Linked DNA regions of Oreochromis niloticus. The protein of the gene in region 2 interacts with the protein of the main gene of each other region in a biochemical or structural test. Links are inferred from orthologs where the notes say so. Each region holds a gene or a part of one and is shown on either strand. Other genes may lie near its edges.

Region 1 (7,784 bases), on a different chromosome or scaffold from region 2:
ATCAGTGACTGCTTCCTTCCTCGCCTTTTCCAGTGACAGAGCTTTCGACTTTAGTCCTTCGCTGACTCCATAGCCAACATCCTCATGAAACGATCCATCCTGGAGGAAAAGCAACATGAGCTCATATGGATGGAAGAGAGGGGGGCAGAAAAATAAAAGAGGCTCATTTACCCAACCTTGAGCTGCACTTTAACAAATGCGCTGACACCGACGTAAAACTTCCCGTTGATGAGGTCTACGAAATCTGCCAATAAAGACTCTTGTGTTAGTCTGAGCACGAGAAGGTAAACCTGGATCCTAAGCTGTGAAACGAGTCATACCAACATTCTGCTGGGAAATGGAGTGAGACCATCCATTGTATCCAAACATCTCATTGGCCAAGCTGATGACACGATGGCCTTCAATGTAGCATACCTGTTGAAATCAGAGTAGCTATTTGAAGTTGAAAAATGAAATTATGACATGTTATTATGAAGAAACATCCACAGTCTGAGGTGCAGGCAGCTTTTGTAGCTGCAGAGGAAAATAAAGACTTGCCTTCTGTCCTCCTCCGGCCATTCTGGTGCTGATGTACTCTGGTCCCAGCTTCTGTCGCAGAGCATCTTGCACCGCCTGGTACTCCTCAGCTGTGTAGGTAAGCTGTCATCACACCCCAGTGTCAGCAAGGCACACAGCGGAAATACCATTAATAATGAAAACAAGCTTACATTGTTGTCATATTTGTATGATCTGAGTGAAACTGGCTGGCAGTTATTATCCTCTGGAGGTGCAGGAAGCTAGGTTTACACTAATAACATAAAGAGCGATTCACTACTGATGCTTTGTCTACTTCTACTTCATTTCAGACATTAAAAAGCCACCCAGAGTACAAGCTGTTCTCGGCAGCCTTTGGGCTTCCAGGAAGGTCAGCAAATCCTATCAAACTTAATATGGATGTGCAGGTTACAGGTGAAATCTAAGGTTATTAATATTAAAATAAAACTGAACTAAAGGTGGAAGTTAAAATGACTTTATTTACATTAAAGAAAATATAATAAAATAGAAAGACTTCTGCAAAAACAGACATGCCAGCAAGATCAACAAACTAATCCATAAGACTCGATCAATCATTGCCCAGAATCTGGAGGCATGTGAGTCAGTGAGAGACCGGAGGTCTCTGAACAAACCTCTCCATCATCGGCAACCCATCGAACACGCTCCACTCCACTGCACAGACACAGGAGAGCTTCTCCTCCCTCAGACTTATTAAGATTCCTCACACACTTCTGTATTATAACTTCCTGCTCCTTTTTCCTTTGTTTTCATCTTTAAATGTATTCTTTAATTTCAATCACTGTTGTAAATATTTTAAAAATTGCACTTCCTCAATTTATAAGGCAGGGGAGTCAAAAACTAGGCCCGGGGGCCAGAACAGGCCGGGGAAACACTCCTTTTCAGGGCATAAATTTTGGAATTATTACGGTATTTTCATTAGTTTGAAAATTTTTTCCCACTGATTAAAATCTCCCCTACGGCCATTCATACCACATCGGAGTAATTAAGTAATAGAAAAGCATTTAAATGATAGTAAAAAAATAGTTTTCTATCTACTAGAGAAACCAGGCATTTTCTGTGAATTAACAAAACTTTGTTTTATCGTCATGATGCATGCTCAATCATCCAGGTAAGTAAATCCCCAAAAGTTGATTCTGTTCATCTGGACGTAGACTGAAGAAGTCACTTGGATGAGTGACGAAACATTTCTCCCAATGAAAACGCTACGTCCAGATGAACAGAATCAACTTTTGGGGGTTTCTGTTTTATCACTACAGGAGAGTCTAGGCAGTGAGCTACCGGACCATTTTATGTAATTTTGCACATTTATTTCTTACAATTTTAGAGTCGGGCTGAAAGCATCTTCTTTATGATGCAGAAAAACTGAGACACACTGTTGAAATTGCATTTCTTCTTCCTATATTAAGATCGCCCAGTAATTAAATGTGTAGTTAAAGTCCTTTACAATAATAGAGAGGAGTGTTTCACTCCTCCAGACCTCTTTATATCAAAGTGCGCCCATGGAGAGGAGTGGCAGGAGTGATTTTTAACAGAAGAATAGCAGCAAGAATGAAAGGTAAGGTTTAGAAGATGGTCGTGAGAACTGCTACGATATTTAGTTTGGAGAAGGTGAACTGACAAAAAGACAGGAGGTGTGACTGGGGGTGACAGAGGTGAAGATGCTCAGATTTTCATTGGGCGTGACCAAGAATAGACAGGATTAGAAATGAGTACATCAGAGCGACATCTCAGGTTAGAAACGGTTTGACGTGTGTAGAGGACGGATGGTGGATATATTGGACCAAGGATGCTGAAGATGGAGTTGCCAGACAAAAGAGGAAAGACCATAGCGGGGGGTTAAGGGTATATAGGACCGGAAGAACAATAAAAACTAAACTTTCAAAAGAAATTACAAACTTTGTAGAAAATACAAAACTATGATACTCTACTACATAAATAAACTCGGTCCCCTCTAGTGTCCATTCACAGACATTCAGACTGACACACATTGTGCTCCAACCCGTTTCAATCAAAACTTTATCAGCAGTGGGACTGGAAACAAAAACAGATGTGCTTTATCATACTAATTTAACTCAACACACCTGTGTCCCATTTAGAATAATTAGCTTTTTTCCCTCAGTAAACCGTTAAAGAAGTCTCATTTAGCCCACATACCTGTCCGAAGCACCTGGACGCAGAGCTGCTCGTCTCCTCACTGGACATGACTGCCGAGATGTTCCTCAGTCACTGAAAAAGAGGCTAAGATGGCTTCACTTATCGATAAAACTACACGAGAAGAGCCTGAGACCCGATAGAAGTCAGTGGATACAAACTAGCCGGTTACAGTTCCTCTAAAGTGCCTTCTGTGTTGAATGAGCAGCAGAAAATATGAATATTATTTCAAAGAGGCAGCCATCTTTCTGAACTTCCCGCTCGGACTACCGGAGGAGGAGCTTATGGTGCCTTCACGGCTATTGGAAAATAAACTACTAATTGAAATCTAGGGGTTACTGGGTTTACACGCAAATTTTAATTATTAACTTATATATTTTAAAGGCAGAATCAGCTATTTAATTTTTATTTTATTTATGATAGCTTAAAAAATATGCATCCACCTGAAACATAAACGATGCGCCATGAAAGTTGTATTTCCTCTCACAGGGCCCGATATAGAAAATGACGAGGTCGCCTTAAATGCATATTTCATTGTAAGGTGTAATAGTATCTAATATTACTTTTGTTTGTGTATGCCCCATCTAATGACTGAAACTGCTGTGCAGAGGACACAAAGACAGGTGATGCTACCTGTAGGATGTGGCTAGAGGCACATTCTTTGACATCACATCCTCAGGTCGAGGTCTCTTCAGACACTGCTTTTGAGTTCCTTAATTAATCTTTGCAATCATTATATTCTTTATTCCATAATAAATCAGTGTTTAATTTTGAATAATAAATAGAGGATTACCCAGCCACAACACGTGGTTATTAGAGGGGAGACTTTTCACTGCTTTTGATATTATCTTTTACGCTGGCCCTTGTCTGGTTTGTGTGCTTTGTGAACTGTTTATCTATAATGATTCCAAGCTTTAAAATAAATAATCAAATGGCTACAATAGCACTGTAGGCAAAACAGCTTTAAAACAAAATAAAACCTGCATATAACAGCATGCAAACCGCATGCAAGCGGTTAAACAGGTTTGGATTCTGCACAGGGAACATTTTCCGTTCTCCAAACTTCTATTTCAGCAAACTCTGATCCACAGACACTAAAGTGACCTCAGAGGAGATCTGCAAAAGAATGTAAGAAGCTATGAAAGATTTGATTAATGCAATTAAATTTTTAACAGAAGCTAAAGTTTTTGCGTTTGTTGTTTAGTCTTCCTTGTGCAGTGAATTAAATATCTGCAAGATAAATATTTGCATGCAAGAAGGATCTCTACCTGTTTTCCCTGTTTTAGCTGGAATAGCAGGCTGATCAGGCTGGTCTGTGTTTGCACTAAATCTCGTGGGATTGTATGGGAGAATACAATCTCCCTTTTATTAACAATCTGAGCTAAACGCACCGTGTTATAACGCACCTCTTTGATCCAACAAGAGCCATTTTTCTGTCACATGTATAGGAGTGCCAGGATTTTTGCAAAGCAGACAGAAAACTAAATTTATTCCTTACAGTTTCTCACAAGACTGCCCCCACACCCCCACCCTTATTTTTAAACATCTCATCCACGGAAAAGGGGGATTATCCGGAGAACACACGCATCTGCACTCACAGATGGTAAGGCTACCCTTGTGTGAAACTGTGTGGATTTGGGTCAGAGCTGGAAACTGTGTGTTTACTATCTTCTGTTTATGGCCATATTGCAAAGCGAGGCCTTTCTCACCACTGACTGCACACCTGTGCACTGCAGTGTTAGCACACTGTTTGCGTATTAGTGTCTCCCCCGGTTTGTGTGTTAATTCTTAAAGTCTGCGTCTTAATAATAATAAAATTAGCCCTCCGGAATTAAACTCTGCCATTATTCTTATTTCCCATTGGAGTTATCCCCTCTCGCTTACATACAGCTATAACCACGGACGCGCGTCCACGTGCTGCTCGTGGCCGCGTCCACGCGTCCAGGTTTCGCGTTTGCATCTCGTCAAAACAAAGCGGGGGCGAGCCGGAGCGAGCAAGCGGCAGTTCTTGCTTCTGGCTTCTTACTGAATGAGTCCCCGCAGGTCGGACCTTTCCACCGCCCGCCCGCCCGCACCCCGATGCCCGTGAGGGTGCGCAGACAGGCGGCTAACAGAACAGGAGGCAGCCGCTGATGAACCCGGACAGTAAACAGTTCCCCTCAGCACTACATGACCGTTTCATCTCAGCAGGAGCTATACGACAAGATCAGGAACGGTGAGTGCGGGCTACAGTGGGCGGGCAGAGGCGCATGACATACGGCAACTTTGTGGCCATTATGATACAGTTTTTATCCAAAGGTGGACCAAACGCAGCATCTGCGTGTGCTTGTTACACGGTGGCTTTGTTTACCGGGGCACTTTGCTTCATTGTGTTCTGCGCACAGGTTTTTAAAAACATAAAACATCCACGTACGCACGACTGGCGGTGCATTCCTCCCAGTAGGATAAACGTGGACTGTTGATTGCGTGTCTGGCCGATTGAATGGCCGTATGATGTCGAATGGCTCAGCTCGGAATCACGGGGAGAGATCCATAGAGCAGAAAAGAAATGCACGTTCTTACGGATAATTTTTATTTATTTTTTAAGAGGCATCGATCTGATTGTAATCGCCCCTAAAAGACAAGCCAAGGAGGAGGAGGGGTGAACAAAAGCAGAAATGCCCAGACTGGCGTGGCATGGCATTCCGGGTAGACAGTGAGCAGCCAGCGCTGCTGACTCAGATGTGATCTTACTCTAATTAAACTGCAGGCCCGGTTCTTCTGAAAACACACGAGGCACCCCCCTCTCTTTGTGCTTTACATGTTGAGGCTAGTGTTGGCTCTTTTGTCTGTAGAGTGACAACCCAGACTGCTGTTCTCCCCTCTGACCAGGGGATGGTGCTTTACTTTGTACAGTACGTTTCTATGGGGAGACACCCAAACTGAGAGCAACTGTAACGCTTTTACAGGAATAACTGGCGCAGACTGATGCGTGTACACACATGCACTTCTCTTTTCTCTTTCCTCTGATGCAATGCGTGTGTAAACCCTGCAGGTCAGCCCAGCTTTGATTGCAAAACACTCCTCTCTGGTTTTGAACTGACAGTCAGGTAGAGAATAAAGAAAGAGAAAGCACTCATTGTGAGGAAGTCTCAGATGTGGGGTTTGATTTTTATCCTGTGCCCCTTTGACCGTGAATTTCGCTTTACTGTGTTGTGTCTCTTATACCGCTTTAATGTTCCCTGCTTGATTCGCTCTCTCAAAGTAAAGGGCGGAGGAGGCTCATGACTGCACTTGAGACATTTTTCATCGATGCCTCACACAGCTCCTTGATCCAATTTTAATCCCTCCTGCTAGCCTTTGTTGACATTTCCACTTTTACGCAAACTTCAGATGCTTGATGGACTGCGGCGGAGGCACGCCTCCCGGCCCTCCCCTCGACCCCTGTCGCTCAACTTCAGCACCTTCTCGCCCCCTCCTCCGAGCCCGGATTTGGACAGCAGCAATGAGCATCCAATCAGGAGGTGAGTCTCAGTTCCTGGGCTTAGCATTTCACAGCGTGCAGCCTCCTGGAAAATGCATGAAATATTTATAAGCATTTACAAAAAGAAAAAAGAAATCACACCATGTCTGTCCCAGAAGATTTCATTAACCAGCTGAAACACATGCTGGTCTAATGGTAATGATGTCCTGGTGGGTTGTTTGATTGACTCATTTCCTCATGTATGGACACCTCATTCGTTTGTGCGCTCTGCTTTCCATGTTTTCTGTGTTCATGTGTGTGGGTGTGAAAGTGGGGGGCTCTGTTGTTTACTGCTCTGTTGTCAGCAGAGAGTTTCAGGACTGTGTGGGTTTGAACTCATCATTTCTTCTTTTTTACCAGGTCTTCCTAAAAATATGCAAACAGTGTTTTCTCTCTCTCTCTCTCTCTCTCTCTCTCTCTCTCTCTCTCTCTCTCTCTTTTTACACTTTTAGGATATTTTAGATTGATGAATGTGTTAAAACATGCACTTAAATTTTAGGTATACTCGAATTACATTAGGATTTTCCGGAATTGTGCCTCTTAAAGGGGCAGTTCACCCAGAGCTGGTACTTGTGACAGCATTACAAGATGGAAACATCAGTGTTTCCCTTCACTGAGCTGTAATCTTAATGTGCAGCACACGTGCTTCCTTTGCTGGCAGGTGTAGTTCCTACATGAAACTGCTCACACTGAGGTTTGTGGATTTGTTTTTTTGGAGGGTGGTAACAGATGATTTCTAACTTAGAGACGCTAAAACCTTCAGTTGTGGTGAGAAGTTTACAAACACTCATCATGGACATGAATGTCACAGTAATTTTAGAATTTTAATTTCTTTGAACTTTTCTAGGTTGGAATGATTGTACAGCATACATCTTTAAGGACTTTTGGATTTTCTCTAAGGCAAAAAGTATACATACACACTCAAATACATGTATACTCCCCCACTAATATTTGATTAAATGTCTCTTAACAAGTTGCACCTTGACCAGATGCTTTTGGTAGCGGTCAACAACCTTCTGGCATAACAATGGCTGGATATTAGATCACTCTTATTAGCAGAATTTGTATAGTTCATTTAAACTGGTTGATTACCACTACCACTGCCAGTACCACTGGCAGCAAACCAACCCCGGAGCATGATGCTATCACCACCATGCTTGACAGCTATTTCTGTGTTTAGGTTTAAAAACTTAAGCTTTACTCCTCCAAACATGTTGTGATTAATTATAACAACTAACAGGAAGTTAACAGGCCTTGGCTTTTTTAAAGTTAAAAAACACTGTAGAAACTTTAGCACCACTTATTAAAAATTTAAGGGAATATATGTAGATTTCTGACCCTGATTAGAAAAAAATCCAAAATAAATTCAAACTTGTGCATGCATTCCTTGTTTTTTGATAAGATGCAATCACCCCCCCCCCCCCCCCCCCCCCCCTTCATATCTTCATATCTTTATATGTTCATATCTCTGCAGTAAGCTAATCAAATCCTCTCTGTAGCTGCATATTTAGCTTCAGTGTTTAAAAATATGATATCAATCTTCTCATCTGACCCCACAGCAAAAAAAAAAGAAAAA
Region 2 (7,641 bases):
TTTTGCCTGCAGCCTCCCACACAGCTGTGCGCGCTCTGGCTGAAGACCATGAAAAACTCAATTCCTATGATGTATTTCATATTAGAATTCCTTATTTCCCATTTTATAAAATCCATTAGGGTCGACATGGATATTACTACAGAGTGGAAACCATGTCTTCTTTAACAGCATGCACTGATGTTCAAACCAGCAGCACTTGGAGAAAGTACAGAAGCACACTAATGTGCCTCTACAATGTATCTGTTTTATCTGTAAATCAGATACAACCATATGCAGTCTCCTCCACACAATGCCAGCTTTCACATTCCTCTGAGATACCGAATCAAACGACTGTCGTTCCTTACCAGGATCTTGTCAGCCTTGGCCTCACTGATGCCCTTGATGTTGAGCAGCTCCTTCTTGGGAGCGTAGGCCACTGCTTCAATGGTGTGGAATCCTGCATCCTCCAGCTTTTTGATGTCACTGGCACTGATTCCACATTGCTGTGTGCAGAGGCATCAAAACAAAGAGCTAAAGCTAAATTCACAGAAAGAGTTTTTTAAGAAGCTGTAGGGTCTTGCACACTCCATGATTAAAAGCCAGTTTAATTTTTGATAGAGCACTTAAAAAACAAACAACATAGTTGACCAAAGTTCTTTTGAGGTAAAAGATAGCAAAAAAATACAAAACCACATATTAATTAAAAAATAAAACAACAACAACAGTGAAACAGTAAAATACTGTGAATTTGTTACTGGGGCTTTAACCCTGTTAAAGTTATTTATGCTGTAGACCTGCTCTGGACCACGCTGTGTCTGGAATGAACCCATCAAGTCCCAGGAAAAGAGTAGAGCCATTTATGAGATATCATGCAGAGTGGGCTTTTGGCTTTTAAAGGCCTCAGTAAGAAATGCAGAATTTTAGGAGCAAAGTCACTGACAGTTTCATTTAACACAATATATGATCCTGGTGAGGGACCAAGCAGCGAAGGCATAGAGAACAACAGGAGAAATGTCATTAAAAACGGGCCTTTTTAAAAACATTTTTACCTGCGTCATGGGGCGGTGCTTTTAAGAAGTCAATGAAATGACACAAACTGGATTTTTTTTAATGCCACCACTCAATTCTGTTCAGAGCCTGATTGATATAGGATTATTAAAACCAATACCAATATCTGGTGATTTAAAAATCTGATGCATCAGGATAATTTTTCTTCCTCACACACACACACACACACACAATTGTTACATGTGGTTATTTATGAATCCCTACAAACACAATAAGAACCAACTATTTAGAAATCAATGGGTTTCACTGTCACAAAAAGCTGTGGATTACTCACTTGTGCTCCTTCCATATCAGCAGTGTTGTGTTTGTGTTAAACAGTGCAGCTGCAGAGCACCCTCTAGTGGACAATCTATGCATTAACCATGACTCACTGAAGGGGTTTTCTACCTCCTCTTCTTTACTTTTTACATTTTTATTTATCAGTCGTTATAAATGCCAATACTGATTTTTCAGCAATTATCTAATGGTGTCTGACATATCAGCCCATTCTACATCCAAGCTTCAAATACATTTAATGTTTAAAGTACTTCTTCGGTCTTACTGACCACTTGCAGAGCTTACAGGGCACTATTAGCAACACTATAGGCATATAAAATGCAGTCAGATTTTTTTTAAAAAGGGCCAAGTTCAAAGACGGGTGGATCCTTCCATGAATCAATCAGTGGTTTCCACCTGGTGCTCCAAGAATCAGCTCATTGCTCATTGTAGAAGAAGAATCAGGTCATTTACAATTACTTCAGTATATGTAATGAAGCCACCTTCCTTTACACTTTGAACATTGTCAGAGCTTTGTCACATAATACTTTGAACATACCATACTCATATTTTTTTTTAATCCTTGCAGTCTGAGTGTGCAGGTGGATTTGAGATCCTCTGATCCACGCCATGATCGTTTTAGATAGCTCTGTACTTAAGGTCATACAAAAAATAAGGTGACCAAATTTCACCTCATACCTGAATGTCACAATAGAAAAGTATTAAATTGAGTTTAGACGGCAGACTAAGAGCAAGCACACTTGTCCATCTGCATTTAAGTTTAGTGAATGAAGTCATTTTTGATCACACACTAAATGAAGCTATACTGGTCACAAAAACGATTGCAAACAATGAGCACCATCGCACCCGCCGACCTGTGGATCAGTTTCATTGGCCTTTGCAGTGCGTGTATCCCATCTCTTGCCAGCTGAATGCAACAGCAGTTGGCAGTGATCTGACCAAGAGGAGCAGGATCAGCGAACCCACAGCTCCGAGCTTCTACAGCACACAAAATCAGGTGTTACAGAAACCACAGTGCACTAAGGACGGATACGTACCTCCAATCTGCATAGAGGCTGTGGCCCGTAGTTTTCCTCCTCCTCCACCTCCACTCTGGCCTCGCTCCTCATCGCCATGATCCAAGGAGACCCAGGTCGGCTCCGCTCGGCTCGCTGATTGTTTGACGGTTAATACTGAAAGCTAAGCCAGAGAGTTAGCATGCAAAAGCTGATTGATACAACGATGTTTTCATGATGATCGTCACACGGCAGGTTTTTTTGCTTTACCTTTTCATCTGCCTTAAAACCAAACTTAAGTCTATTTGTTTTCACATTTAAAACATCTAAGAGACTACTCCATCTACACTTACACACTGTTAATGCCCAGTAAAAATGTAACGTTTTTCTTCTAACACAGTAAATTCACGTTAACACACTTTAGCGACAAATTCGGCCATTATTTATGTGACCGGCAGCCCAGGCGCTGTCACCGTGGGGCTAGCATGAACTGCCCGAGCACTCTGCTGTCACCGTTGCTGTTAGTGTTAACAGTTACTGGGCTAAAAGTAGTAATTTCTACGCGACTTCGGTCCTTACCTTCTTGCAGCTTTCTTGTTTTCCTCAAACTCTTCGGTGTGAAGCTCCCGCGCGCAGATTCAGATTCAATGACGTTGTACGTAAACGGAGCCAATGGGCGCGTGAAAGAAGGTTCGTGAGAGACGGGAACCGGAAGTAGGTTATTACAATAGTATGGCAAACAATCTAGGCCAAAATTCGCAATTTTTTTTAACGCGTCTGGTTACGAAATTACGTAACCGTTTAATAAGCCAGAACTTGTCCCCGACTGAACGCAGTATTTTACTCCAAAGAGTAGCGCCTTGAACCCCTGGGAAAAATGCTGCTTTTTCCGCCATTCAGAAGGAGCGTTCAAGGCGCCACTCTATGGGGTAAAATACAGTGTTCTGCGGGGTCAACGCTGTTTTTTTACGGTCATAGGTGGCACAGATCATGTTCATGATTTGTTTTCATATTCATGACATGTTTTAATGTTAATAGCAGCCTGTTAACACCCAGCTGTACTCTGAGCCTCTAATTAAATTTGTTTCTAGTCAAGTTGTTGCCCTGCAGGAAGAGTGTTCCTTTCAGATAACTGTTTCTCTTTATTCTTTATCCTTTCTTTATTCTTGTTGCTTCCTCAGGTTTTGTGCTATTTTCACCGTTCAAATTTTACAGTATTCTGCTATTTCTGCTCTTTCCGGCTATATCTTTTGGTATTTATTACTGTTATACTTTTTAAAATATTAAGCTTTTTTCCTTTTTTTTGTCCCATTGAAATGAATGGGAAACTTCCACAATTCTGCTAAAACTTGCTTGTTTTTGAAACTTAACTACTTCCTCATACTTTCACGTAGAAACCCCATTCAAACTTTAAAATGTTCTGAAATTATTGGGTGTGTTACCATTTTAATTTACTGCCTCTTTAAGTTTTCAGTTGCAAAATTGTGATTTTTCAGAATACATGCGTTGTTATGGTTGCTATGCAATTAACTAAGAGTGGACACTGGTGTTCATCGTAGTATTTGAGCCAAATTATAGTATATAGGCTAAAACATAGTATTTCTGTCAATGGCAGAAATACTATGTTTTATCACAAATACTATGATTTAGCAGCAATGCTATGAGTTGGCACAAATACTATGACTTAGCAGACATACAGTTGACTGATCTAGAAACATACAAGCACACATTTCTGCTATCATAATGTTTGTGCTGAAACATAGTATTTCTGCCAAATTATATTATTTCTGCTAAATCATAGTATTTCCTCAATGCTGTAGTATTTTGGCTAAATCGCAGTATTTCTGCTATGTTATACTGTTTATGTTAAATTATAGTATTTGTGCCAAATCGTAGTATTTCTGCTAAATCATAGTATTTCAGCCAAATCATAGCATGTGTGCTAAATCATAGTATTTGTACTAATAGCATTTGTGACAAATCATAGTACTTCTGCTATGTTATCGTATTACTGCTAAATCATAGTATTTGAGCCAAATCTGAGTATCTGTCCTAAAGCATAGTATTTCTGCCAAATCATAGCATTTGTGCTAATAGTATTTCTGCCAATTCATAATATTTTAACAAAATTACATTATTTGTGCTAAAACATGGCATTTCTGCCAAATCATAGTATTTGAGCCAAATCATAGAATTTGTGCTCAAAGACAGTAATTCTGCCAAAGCATAGTATTTGTGCCAAATCGTAGTATTTTTGCTCAATAATAGTATTTGACCCAGAAGGTTAAGTGTCTTCACTTCTTTTCAGCACAAAGTTCTGCTTCTTCACCTGTTTCGAGCACAAACTTAAGGTTATTCACCTCATTTCTGCAGAAAGTTCAACTTTGTCAGCTCTTGTCAGCTAATTTTTCAGGTCCTTCAGTTGATGCCTGCTATATCTTTTGGTGCTAATAACTGCTATACTTTTTGAAATAGTAAGCTTTTTATGCCTTTTTTTTTTTTGCCCATTTTGATGACTGGGACCAAATTACTAGCGTCTTTTCTGATTTGGCTCTCTGAGCTGAGCTGTGTTTTAGCTCAGTGAGATGAGCAGCTGTTCTCAGAGCAGGAGACCCAGGTTCAAATCCCGCTTATGGCAACATTTTTTTTCAGTGAACACTTTAACTTTTTAAATTCCTTTCAACACAAATTTCAACTTCTTCACCTCTTCTCAGCAGAATTTTCATTTTTTCACCTCTTTTCAGCACAAATTCCAGATTCCTCAACTCTTTTCAGCACAAACTTCAGCTTCTTCAGCAGATTGTTCTCGTTCTTCAGCTGTTTTCCGATTCCACTACAAGGCATTCACACAGCATTTTCGCAGGAAATGCAAATTTTTCTAGTAATGCCTTTAACTTCAAATGCCCTTGCAGCAGCCTAGCACACACTAAAAGATTTCTTTCAGAACAGATAATCTTGTAATCTTGCTTCAGTAGGGTTTGGGTTCAGCAGCCAAACTACTTTGGTTCTTTGAAACCATGTCAGTAGTCGCATATCACATAATATGGTATGAAATGCAAATTATGCTTTCTGCATTAGCATTGACTGAAAGTTGCACTGAAACCAAACCAAAGCGTCTTTATCATCAGTAATACCATGAAACAAACCATGTTCAGTTACAACAGGGATTTAAATCAAATCCTTTAGATTTGAGCAGATATGTTGACCAGACACCGTTTCAGTCCCTGAACCACAGTTTTAGTGACAGTCCACCAAATCGTCAAGCACTTAGAGCAGCATACAGACAGGTGTATGGTGGGGCATCCTCCATACACCTGGACAAGAAGCAAACTGCTAAAAGAGCAGCTTTTTTATTAAAGTTTTTGAAATCAGACAAACACTCCCGTTATTGTGCAGACTCAGCACAGAGCATCATGTACCCTAATTCAAAGAGTTGATTTGTAGTGTGTCACATCAGTGTGGTGGCAGCTGTCCTGGCAGCCATTTTTGGAATTCCATAAAATACTATGATTCATATCAGTATGTCACCTGGAACTGTAGCTGTGCTGTAAACAAATAATGAAGCACAGTTTGACCAGAATAAGAACTAGAATCTTTAACACACTAAGATAATAAAGTACACAAGCTATTTGGCTGGTAACTGGCAATAAGCCAGAGGACTAATGGCTCAGAAGGCCCAAATGAAACTAGTAATGTCCAGACATCTAGCCTATATTACATAATATTCATTAACCTATTTAAAAAGCACTTTTGCTCTGTTTCAGGTAAAGTGTAAATCTGCACCTCTGATTTGTGTGATTAAATTTTCTCTTCGTCTTTTTCTGCTGCAGCAGCCAAAATCTGATTTATTAATGACAAACCAGTGGGAGAAGCATCATAACATGAAGAAAACTGGACAGTTAAAGGATTTTTCTTTTTACATAAAAAAAAAAAATAGTTGTTTGATGATCTGAGACGTTTAGGTGTGACAAACATACAAAAAAAAAAAAAAAAAAAAAAAAAAATAGGAAAACGCTTTTTTACACCATTGTCATATAAAAATGACTTACTTCCTTCATTCTGTTCATTGACCTCATTGTGGACCTCTAAAATGTTTAATAGTATGTAGTATATACCTTATTTACCTTATTTATTAATGTTTTGGGTTTGTTTCGTTTTTTGCACTACATTAGACAACATCAAAATCGCGTTGTCAAAAATTGACAATAGCATTGGCATTTTTGAGGCGCTGTGGACACCCAAGTTTGTGACACCCAAGTAGTGTAGAATTTTCAAATCAATACCATGGTTGCATCTACTGAAAGTCTCTGAAGCTTAAATCTCAGTGACCTTGACTTCAAGGTCAGAGGTCAACTATTCTGAAAATTAGGAGTTTCACATTTATAACACAGGTATGTCTACTAGGAGGCTGAAGGGTAGTACTATATATTTATAAACAACCAAAAACAGTTTTTTTTTCACTAAATATAGTATTTCCAACTTTCCAAATACTGACTTCAACTTCTTCAGCTATTTTCAGCTTTTTCAGCAGACAGCTTCAGCTTTACAGCATCCATACAGCATTTTTGCAGGAAATGCAAATTTTTCTAGTTATATTAATTGATCAAACTGTGTTTAAAGGCCCATTTCAGACATTAAGATGATTCATAAATACATGGATAAGGATCATGGAGGGAAAGCTTTGGCCAGAAATCGATCCCCAAGCAGGAGGAAAGCTCCATTTCCAGAAGTAATAGGATTATTTCATTTTATAGGCCACATGCTTCAAAATGACTGCCTGTGGAAGCAAAGCAGGATTTTTCTGCTTCTCCCCCCCTCCTCCTGAATTCTGGTTTTAATTTCAGAATTAAAACCGGGGGGGGGGGGGCTTTAGCCCTTCCCTGTTTGCTGAGAGCAATACTGAAAAGGGGACTCACTCACTGGAGTGCACAGGTTTCAGAGGGGTCTGTGGTCACAGCATACATTTCTACCAAGTAAGACATTAGAATGCTTTTGAATTTGAAAATGACTCTAGAAATAGAGTAAACTGTGTAATATGCCAACTTTAACAGTGACAGGCCATCAAAAGTGAAGTAAAAAAAAAAAAGAAGTTTGCTGTGCAAATCTGAAACCTTTGATACACAACTCTGCATTTAATAATTAGTTTTAATCATCTCTGGCTCTCCTCCTTCCCTCACCCCCCCACCAGCTGACGGAGATGGATGCCCCTCCCTAAGCAGTGGTTCTGCTCTTGGTTTCTTCCTGTTAAAAAGGGAGTTTTTGCGAGTGTTCAGGTTTTTTTGTTTAAAACCGCAGCACCTAAAGAAGCTGATAAATCTAAAGC
Region 3 (7,975 bases), on a different chromosome or scaffold from region 2:
AAAAGAAAAGACTACTTTTCGGTGACATTTTTTAAAATTTAACTCAGCATAATCAACATTTTGTTTTGATTTAGCGATTATCCCCACTGATTAGCCAGTCATCATTTTATCAATGACTTTGAATGGCTTTACTATTCAACCACCTTAATGAGTTAAAGCATCACAGCGAGGCTTTAACCCAAACATTTATCCGCAGTCTGCAGTATATTCTTTAAAAGTGACTGCTTACCTTCAAGCTGACTGCACACCCAGTGCAGCTCTCGGTCTACACTAACAGTGATGAAATCAAAGTTATAATTTCCACTGCTTATCTCCTAAGCTTAGCTACTCATCTCAACAAAATATGAACCCATTTTGAAAATCTATTAATGCACTGGTGCTAGACCCAAGTATTACTTTTGGACTGGTATTTCTTTACATATCATATCTACACCTACAACAAAAGACCAAAAATCTGTGAGTTTAATCCTTTTAATCATCATGTGGTGCAATATTGTCATCACTAGGGCCACAATGACTGAGATTAAAATAAGAAAATGTTCAAATTCATTAGTGAATGTGGACAGTCACCTCAAATCGCCTTGAGGTGACTGTTGTTGTGATTTGGCGCTATATAAATAAAACTGAATTGAATTGAATTTCAAACCACAAGACCAGTGTTTCCCAAAGTGTGGCCTGCAGCCCCCTGGTGGGCCTTGAAGGTAGTGCAGGTGAGCCACAAGAATCTGACCTAAATACTACGTTATTCTTAAATGTTGGGCCCATTTTGGATCTTGGATGCATCTTATAGTTCATTGGTAGTGAGCAAAAACTATACTAGTGTCAGCAGCTGTAACTTCAGAGGATCAACTAAAAGGAAACACTGCACTGCACACATTTACAGTACTGTGCGTGTGTCTATTTGTTAAGATATTTGCCTACTGACAGTAACCAATGCAAATGAACTCCTATACATGACCACTTCATGCTGCTCAAGGTGGATGACACTGTGCATCAACCAAATGCTGACGAGTTGAGAAGTGTGCCAAAACAGGGAAAGGAGCGACAAAGGAACACAAAAAAAGAAAAGCAAAGGTACAAGATGAAAAGTAAAGACAGTGGCTGCAGTGGACACTTGATTATTTTTAATGCTCGGCTTCACTTCAGCTCTTTTGTGCTTTAGAACTACATTCTTAGCGGATGGCGGATGAACCTAGGGCAGCACAAGCAAGAGTAACCCACAGAGTGGTGGCACCACTGCCCCCTGCAGGTAGATAGGTAACCTGTAGCTGCCTATGGATAGCTAACGGACTGAAACATAACTTCCCCACATTGCAGGACATACACAAGTGGTGCGCCCTCTGCTGGAAACAAACTAAACAACAGTAAAACTGGTAACATTTATTCACAACAGGTTTCATGAGCCCTCTAGCCTGATTGTCACAGCCAGTGTCAGATTAACTCGCCACCTACCTGTTCTTCTGGCTCGATTGTGAGGTGGCCTCTTGACTGGAGGACTTGCTTAATGATTTCTTCTGTTCTTCTTTCACATCCTCCCTGACCTTTTTGCTGGGTGGGGCCTTCACACAGGCAAAATCCTCATCTGTCACAAAATGAGGACAAATGACAAAGATACCACTGTTAAGACTGGAAAGTGAGTCCTTTGGATTACACATGTGCACCCTATTGTACTACAGGTTTTCCTGGAATTTAAGAGTCTTCTGCAAAGCAACAGTATCTAATAGCACGTTTTTTGTTGCAATGTCCTTTTCCTGATCACACCACTTTGTTTTGCACGAAGTGACACCACTGCAGTGAGTGCGATTTATCAAGTTAACACAAGACATCTAAAGTAAATAAAATGTAAAGATCACTGTAAAATTTCCAACAGATCCGTCATAAAGATGTTAATATTTCTGTGCTCATCAATACACCCACTGGCACAGCGTGTGGATGTCTCACCTTTTCAAAATAAAACAAAAAAAACAAAAAACAGAAAGAAAGATGGTCTTCCGTGTGGAAAAACCTCATTCTGAATACTTAAGATCAACCTGTTATTATAACATTTAAATACTTCACTTAAGGTGGGGCCCACCACCTTTTCACTCTGTTGCCCACAACATACATACATACATACATACATACATTTCTTTGTGTATTTTACCTTCCTTCCTTCCTTCCCTTATATATATATATATATATATATATATATATATATATATATATATATATATATATATATATACACACACACACACACACTCACACTCACACATTTAGCCTTTATCATAAAGCAAGTCAGTAGAACTTGCATAAAGTTTTTAATTTATTTATTTAAATTTGTATGCAGTTCTACTTTCAGTTGCTCCCTTTAGGCGTCTCCACAGCAGATCTGCCCCATCTCACACTATTCCCAGCATCCTCCTCTGTCACACCAACCCTATGCATGTCAGCCTTCACTACATCCACGCATCGCCTCTGTAAGACTATAAAATGATGACATGACATGACATGCTATGCTATGCTATTTCTTCATCACACTGTGGATCAAATGGGCCAGGATAACAGATTTTTAATTTAACTCACCATCATCGAAGTCCTTGCTCTCACAGTAATTCACAGTCTTTGTCTTCCTGTGTGTCAACAATTAAAAAAAACAAAAAAATAAATTAAAAAACATTTTTTTAGCATCACCACAGATCTAGTTTACCAGGCATAGACAAAAGCAGTAGCTCACCTAGATGGTCGGTCCATAGCTCGCTTTTTAGTCAGCTAACAATAACCGCATTGACACGGCTAATCAGCACTACTCCCTCCAGCTGAGTGAAGTCGACCAAACTTTGACTTTCGATCTCCACACGATTACAAAAAAGTTAAGGTGTCACTTATCGTGAATGAGATCCGTAAACTATATAACTTTAGTTACACAAGCTTAACGTGAGGTACGTCGGTCCCCCAAGCTCTCAAACAGCCCGCCTGAACAGACCAGAAGTGACGTCAGTTGTTTACCAATCTGACGGAAACTGCAAGCAGATTCGTTTATTTCTAAACAAAGCAAAAGAATACAGAAGAAGAGTCCGTTTGTGGCAGCCCGTTTTAATCTTTAAAATCAGAAATAATCAGAGAGCAATAGATAATTTTCTGTTTTTCTTTTTAATTCGTTTTTTAAGGTGTCGAATCTGCTTCTCTCAAATAGCTTGGCGCAGCTTTGCTAATTTCGCCCGGCTAACAATAATAAATGGCTTGGTACTGTGCAAAAATCTTGTGCCGCCCCATTTTTTATCTATAGTTTGATATGAAAATGTGAATGGATACAGCAGTTTATTAAAACGTGTGTAAATGCCGTATATAAGGCAAAAACAGAGTTTGAAAGTCAATATTTGGTATGAGCACCTTTATTCAACATAGCCTGAACTTTCTTGGACAACCTTTCTTGTTTATTCTTCGGGAATAGTTCTCCAGGCTTTGTGAAGGACATTCAGACCTCTTCTTTGGATGTTGGCTGTCTTTCGTTGGTCCCACTCTGTTTCAGTAATGTTTCAGTCCGAGCTCTGGGATATGAAAAGCCAGGACCTTTCTATCTAGGTAAGATCGGGATTATTGCCATACTGCAACATTAAGCTGTTGCCAATCAGATGCATTTCAGATGATATTGCAAAATCTGACGGTACTTTTCTGCAGTTATAAGTACATCAATTTTGACAAGATCCCCAACAGGTTGAAATGCAGCCCTAAAACCATTACAGCCTCCACTGTGTTTTATGGATGGTTGTAGATGCTCACTGTTGGACACTCTCTTAACCTCCTGACAACAGCTCCAAAAATTTGAGCCAAAAATTTCAAATTGTATTCATCACTCAGTCAGACCTGTTGTCGCTGATTTTTACACCTTTTGAGGAGTGGAATTATGGATATATTAATTTACATTTTTTACTTTAAATGACCAAAGACTTGTCTTTTTTTCATATTTTGCTCTTCTAGATAATCTTTGTTTTTTGTATGTTTTTTCTTACAGGTGTGGCAGAAGTGATCCATTGCATTTCTCTGTTTGAGCTCTACCCTTTTTGTCACGGTTCTGGGGCGGTTCGACCCAGCATTCTGAGTTTATTATGTTTTGGTTTATTCTTGAATGATCGTTTTGCTACCTTTGTGATTTGTTGGTTATTATTTGAATTCTATGTTTCTGTTTATTCATGTTTAAGGATTTGTTCTTTGGTTGTGTCTCACGTTTAGTATAGTTCAGGTTCCATGTGCTATATTCTGTCTGCCTCTCAGTGTCGAGCCTGCGTCCTTGTGTAGTGTTTTCTTGTTCCCTGTTTTATTGTGAAGGTCTGCGTCTCATGTGAGTGTGTTCAGTTTACCTCCCTTGTCTCCTCTCGTTAATTACTCCCAGCTGTGTCCCCCACCTGTGTGTAATCTCCCTGTGTTTCTCTGAGTGTATTTAAGTCGTGTCTTCGGTTGTAGTAGCCGCTGGTCCGTCTGTGTATCTACCATGTTCTATTTGTGTGTTCTCCCTGCTGTCACCATCATATACCATCGTCTATCTTCCTTCATGTTCAGGTTCGTGTTCAGTAGTTAGTTGTTCCCAGTGTAGTTTAGTTCATTCTCCGTTTGCCGTTTGTCTATCTTTATTTTGTGTTCAATAAACCACCTTCACACCTTTACAAGTGCCTGCGTTTGGATCCTCCTTTATTATTTCCACACGGCTCATCTCACTCGCCGTGACAGTTTTATCATATTTTCTCCCCCTTTCTTTTTTTCTTTGCCTTTTTTCTCCTGCCTGTCAGCTTTGGCATTGTCATATTACTGTATATATGTTCTGTGATACCAGAAATAATAATAATAAGAAACAAATAAACAGATAAAAGAAATAAACAAAAGGAGCTATAGAGAAATTATAGAATTCATCTTAGGAAAGTGAACGTGTTTAGAACAACATCGCATTCAGGTCAAGACAAGCTTTTAAAAAAAGAAAAAAAATAAGACAAGTGCAAAAACAACTAGTCACTGCTAACATGCTCAAATGTATACACAAAAATTAGTCGTGAAAGACACCAGGACCCGGTGTTACTGTTTTCTTTAAAGAAAAACAAGCCCACAGTAGTACATAGAAGCTAACAGAGTAGAATCACTATCACCACATTATTGTGTGAGGGGCTCTTTATGCTGGTTTTTGCCAATTTCTTCATTGGCTGTTGCTGTTTGTCATAATTCTTAAATGATAAAAGAAGGATTTTGTGTATTTCCTTCTTTTTACAAGGTGGATCTTTGCTCTTGCATGTACATGACAGCTGATGCTGGGGAGTAACTCAAACTACAGTGAGTAATATAACAAATTACTTTCTACACAGAGTAAATAAAGAATCTAATCATATCTTTGGGAATGATTAATAGAAAGGAACTCAGAGACTGCAGTTGTGGTTCTATTGTGTAGTTGTTTACATATTTGCCTGACAAGTGAAAGATTGCAGGAGGAGACACAAATCCTTTGGGGATTGTTTCAGAAATAATATCTGGTTTAAAAGAAAAAGCCAAAATTCAATATGCGGGAACTAATCAAAGATTGTAGTTGTCCTCTAAGCCCAAGACTAAATGACCCAGGTTTACAGTAAATATAGTGACCTGGACTTTTCCATCAGTTTGTGTGAATTTTATAATCCAGTAGACAAACAGGCAAACAAAAGCCATATTTTCACCCAGAAAAAGAAGTCTTAGGTTAACCTTTTTCTTTTTCAGTGCACTTGCAACAATTTGGAGAATTCACTGACAGAGAGCTGACAAACGTCTTTTTTTTTTTTTTTACAAATCATTTAGACAAGAAACTGCTTCAGTCTAGTCCGGGGTTAATGCAGAAGATCAGCTCTTAGTTAAGCAAAAGTTTTAGGATCTGAAACTTTAGCTTTTGAGACTTTGGGATGTAACATATGCTACCTGCCACCTCATGTCTTACTTCCCTTAATATGCCAAATTAGTCTAAAGTAGTTATTCATTCCACACCTACAGTACCAGGCTGCCAAACCTAAGTTTGCACAAGTGCAGATGTAGGTGTGTGCGGGGGACTAGAATGAAGAAACAAACATCACTTACTTAAAAATATATGTGGGTAATATCTTTAAAATGGTCTAAAAAAAGTGTTTTTAAACTGTCAACTGTGCTAAATATATTTCAGATCATAAACATCTCTCTGGAAACTTGTGGTTTCTGGACTGCATCTTAGCCATCATCTTGTATGAAAGTTAACTTTGAGGAGGCATTTCTGCTTCTTTATTTGCAGGCAGTGACAGTATCAGTCGTGTCAGACAAGTTACCAGCAGGTGGCAGCATAATGCCTTCTGGTTCACAGAGGTACAGACTCTGACTGGCTGATTGACATGAACCTGACACGTCCTCAGCTACTCAGTCGCCCACACTCAGGGCGGAAGCAATCACGGCTCCCTCTAAAGTGCAGTGAAAGTAAAATCACTCCATTTTTACTGCACTTTCAAGAGAAGAGCAGCTGCCCCGAGGGTTGTCATTTTCTAGTTTGTGAGTGGGTGGCTGTCGGCTGCGGTTTGTCACACAGTGGACCTTGAGGAACAACCAGGGATGTGATGGTCCACTCCTTTGGACCCAGACAAGGGAGGAGAACATGCATCCACGGGGCCAAAAGGCCCTGTGGTCACGCATTCCTAAACTCCTCCAGCACTGCCTACAGCCACGACTAAAATATCAGATCCAGTCATGCAAACACTGCGGTCACAACATAACGCTTCCATTCACACATATATACATGCTTATATTGTATTTATTCCAGCGCTACAAATGACAGGTTGAGCACACCCCTGCATTCTCTTAAAATGCCGAAGTTAATCCTGAAACGACAGTCGCGTTTCTCTGGCACTTCTCCACATATACATCCGTTTATAACTGTAGGAAATGTTTAGAATATATGCTGCTACAGTTAAAATTACCATGTCTCCAATCCTATATGTTCCCAAACAAAGTCACATGACCACTAAAGAGGGAAAGACTGTTACATAAACTAAAGTAAAAGTAGAAATATCCTGTTAGTGAGTTTAGTGGCAGTTACATGGGTTTATATTGTTAAGCTGTGTGATGATAATTTGTCTTTAAAAAAGGTAATACTGCACATTTCTGCATGTTTTAGTGGTGTACAGTCTGTGAATTAATCTCAAGGTTAAAATGTCAAAAATGTAAAACATAAAGATAATTATTTTGCATTTTAGACTGCAGTTATAGTCGCTCTAGTTCATAACAAACCCTGTAACAAAGCCCAAACTGAGTAACTGTTTTACAGCCGTTGGCTCTATGCATGAAAGACATGAGTAAAGAGGTCCAGAGGGACAAGGGAAATTTGGAGTAACTGTTTCTCTAATTTCCTTATGCAAATTAATCCTTGTTAGATTTAATTTGTGGATTATGTAACATATTTAACAAATACATAATGATTGTTTTTTTCTTTCTCTGGCAACACTAGGCAGCATTACTAGGCTATTTTGGAACAAGGCATCCAGTTGGGTTTACTAGCCTAGTTGGCATCTGTGAGGTCATCAGTGGTCTTAATTTCAGCTTGTTAGTTGGAAGTGGTCAGGAGGCAGTTTCCCCCCCCCTCAACCACTGATGTGAATGCCATCATTATGCGCTCTATAGCATCTCAGAGTGGTAGTTTGTGTGGGGCTCTCTGAGTCCTGCACCCATCCCCCTGTATGGTTGTTCCGCAGGCGGAGACTACAGTGTTGTTATTTACATTCCTCACAGGGCAAAGAGAAACTAGACTGCTTCTGCACTATTAAGATATTTTAGGAACATTGAAAAAATATAGTGTTGTGCACGAATATGATTGAGTACTGCTGTTAATGTAACAGAAGTACTCCATAAGAGGTTATTTGTCCCTCCAAGCTGTGTTATTATGCTGCAAGCCGGGCATATTTTTAGCTACTCGTGGGGACAAAATGCTCTGTCTGAGAGAACATTCATAGGTCGGGGGCACCAATTA

Evidence for each region. The genes of interacting proteins can lie anywhere in the genome.
Region 1: the proteins of rad51b (region 2) and rad52 form a complex in vitro, tested with the Homo sapiens proteins (6 studies listed by BioGRID). The link is inferred for Oreochromis niloticus from reciprocal best matches to the Homo sapiens genes RAD51 and RAD52.
Region 3: the proteins of rad51b (region 2) and rad51ap1 form a complex in vitro, tested with the Homo sapiens proteins (6 studies listed by BioGRID and IntAct). The link is inferred for Oreochromis niloticus from reciprocal best matches to the Homo sapiens genes RAD51 and RAD51AP1.

Annotation. Positions count from the first base shown.
Region 1 is NC_031972.2:56,364,554-56,372,337, forward strand, and holds the start of rad52 (DNA repair protein RAD52 homolog), read right to left. Parts: upstream 3,001-7,784; 5' UTR 2,758-3,000; coding exon 2,710-2,757; intron 640-2,709; coding exon 538-639; intron 415-537; coding exon 321-414; intron 245-320; coding exon 177-244; intron 100-176; coding exon 1-99. Other genes in the region: prr5a (proline-rich protein 5a), read left to right, coding at 6,079-6,209. UniProt on the Homo sapiens protein: Involved in double-stranded break repair. Plays a central role in genetic recombination and DNA repair by promoting the annealing of complementary single-stranded DNA and by stimulation of the RAD51 recombinase.
Region 2 is NC_031980.2:28,823,361-28,831,001, forward strand, and holds the start of rad51b (DNA repair protein RAD51 homolog 2), read right to left. Parts: upstream 3,016-7,641; 5' UTR 2,898-3,015; intron 2,811-2,897; exon of another isoform or gene 2,589-2,810; intron 2,503-2,588; 5' UTR 2,439-2,502; coding exon 2,361-2,438; intron 483-2,360; coding exon 345-482; intron 1-344.
Region 3 is NC_031981.2:14,194,442-14,202,416, forward strand, and holds the start of rad51ap1 (RAD51-associated protein 1), read right to left. Parts: upstream 3,001-7,975; 5' UTR 2,734-3,000; coding exon 2,717-2,733; intron 2,613-2,716; coding exon 2,566-2,612; intron 1,583-2,565; coding exon 1,453-1,582; intron 1-1,452. UniProt on the Homo sapiens protein: Structure-specific DNA-binding protein involved in DNA repair by promoting RAD51-mediated homologous recombination.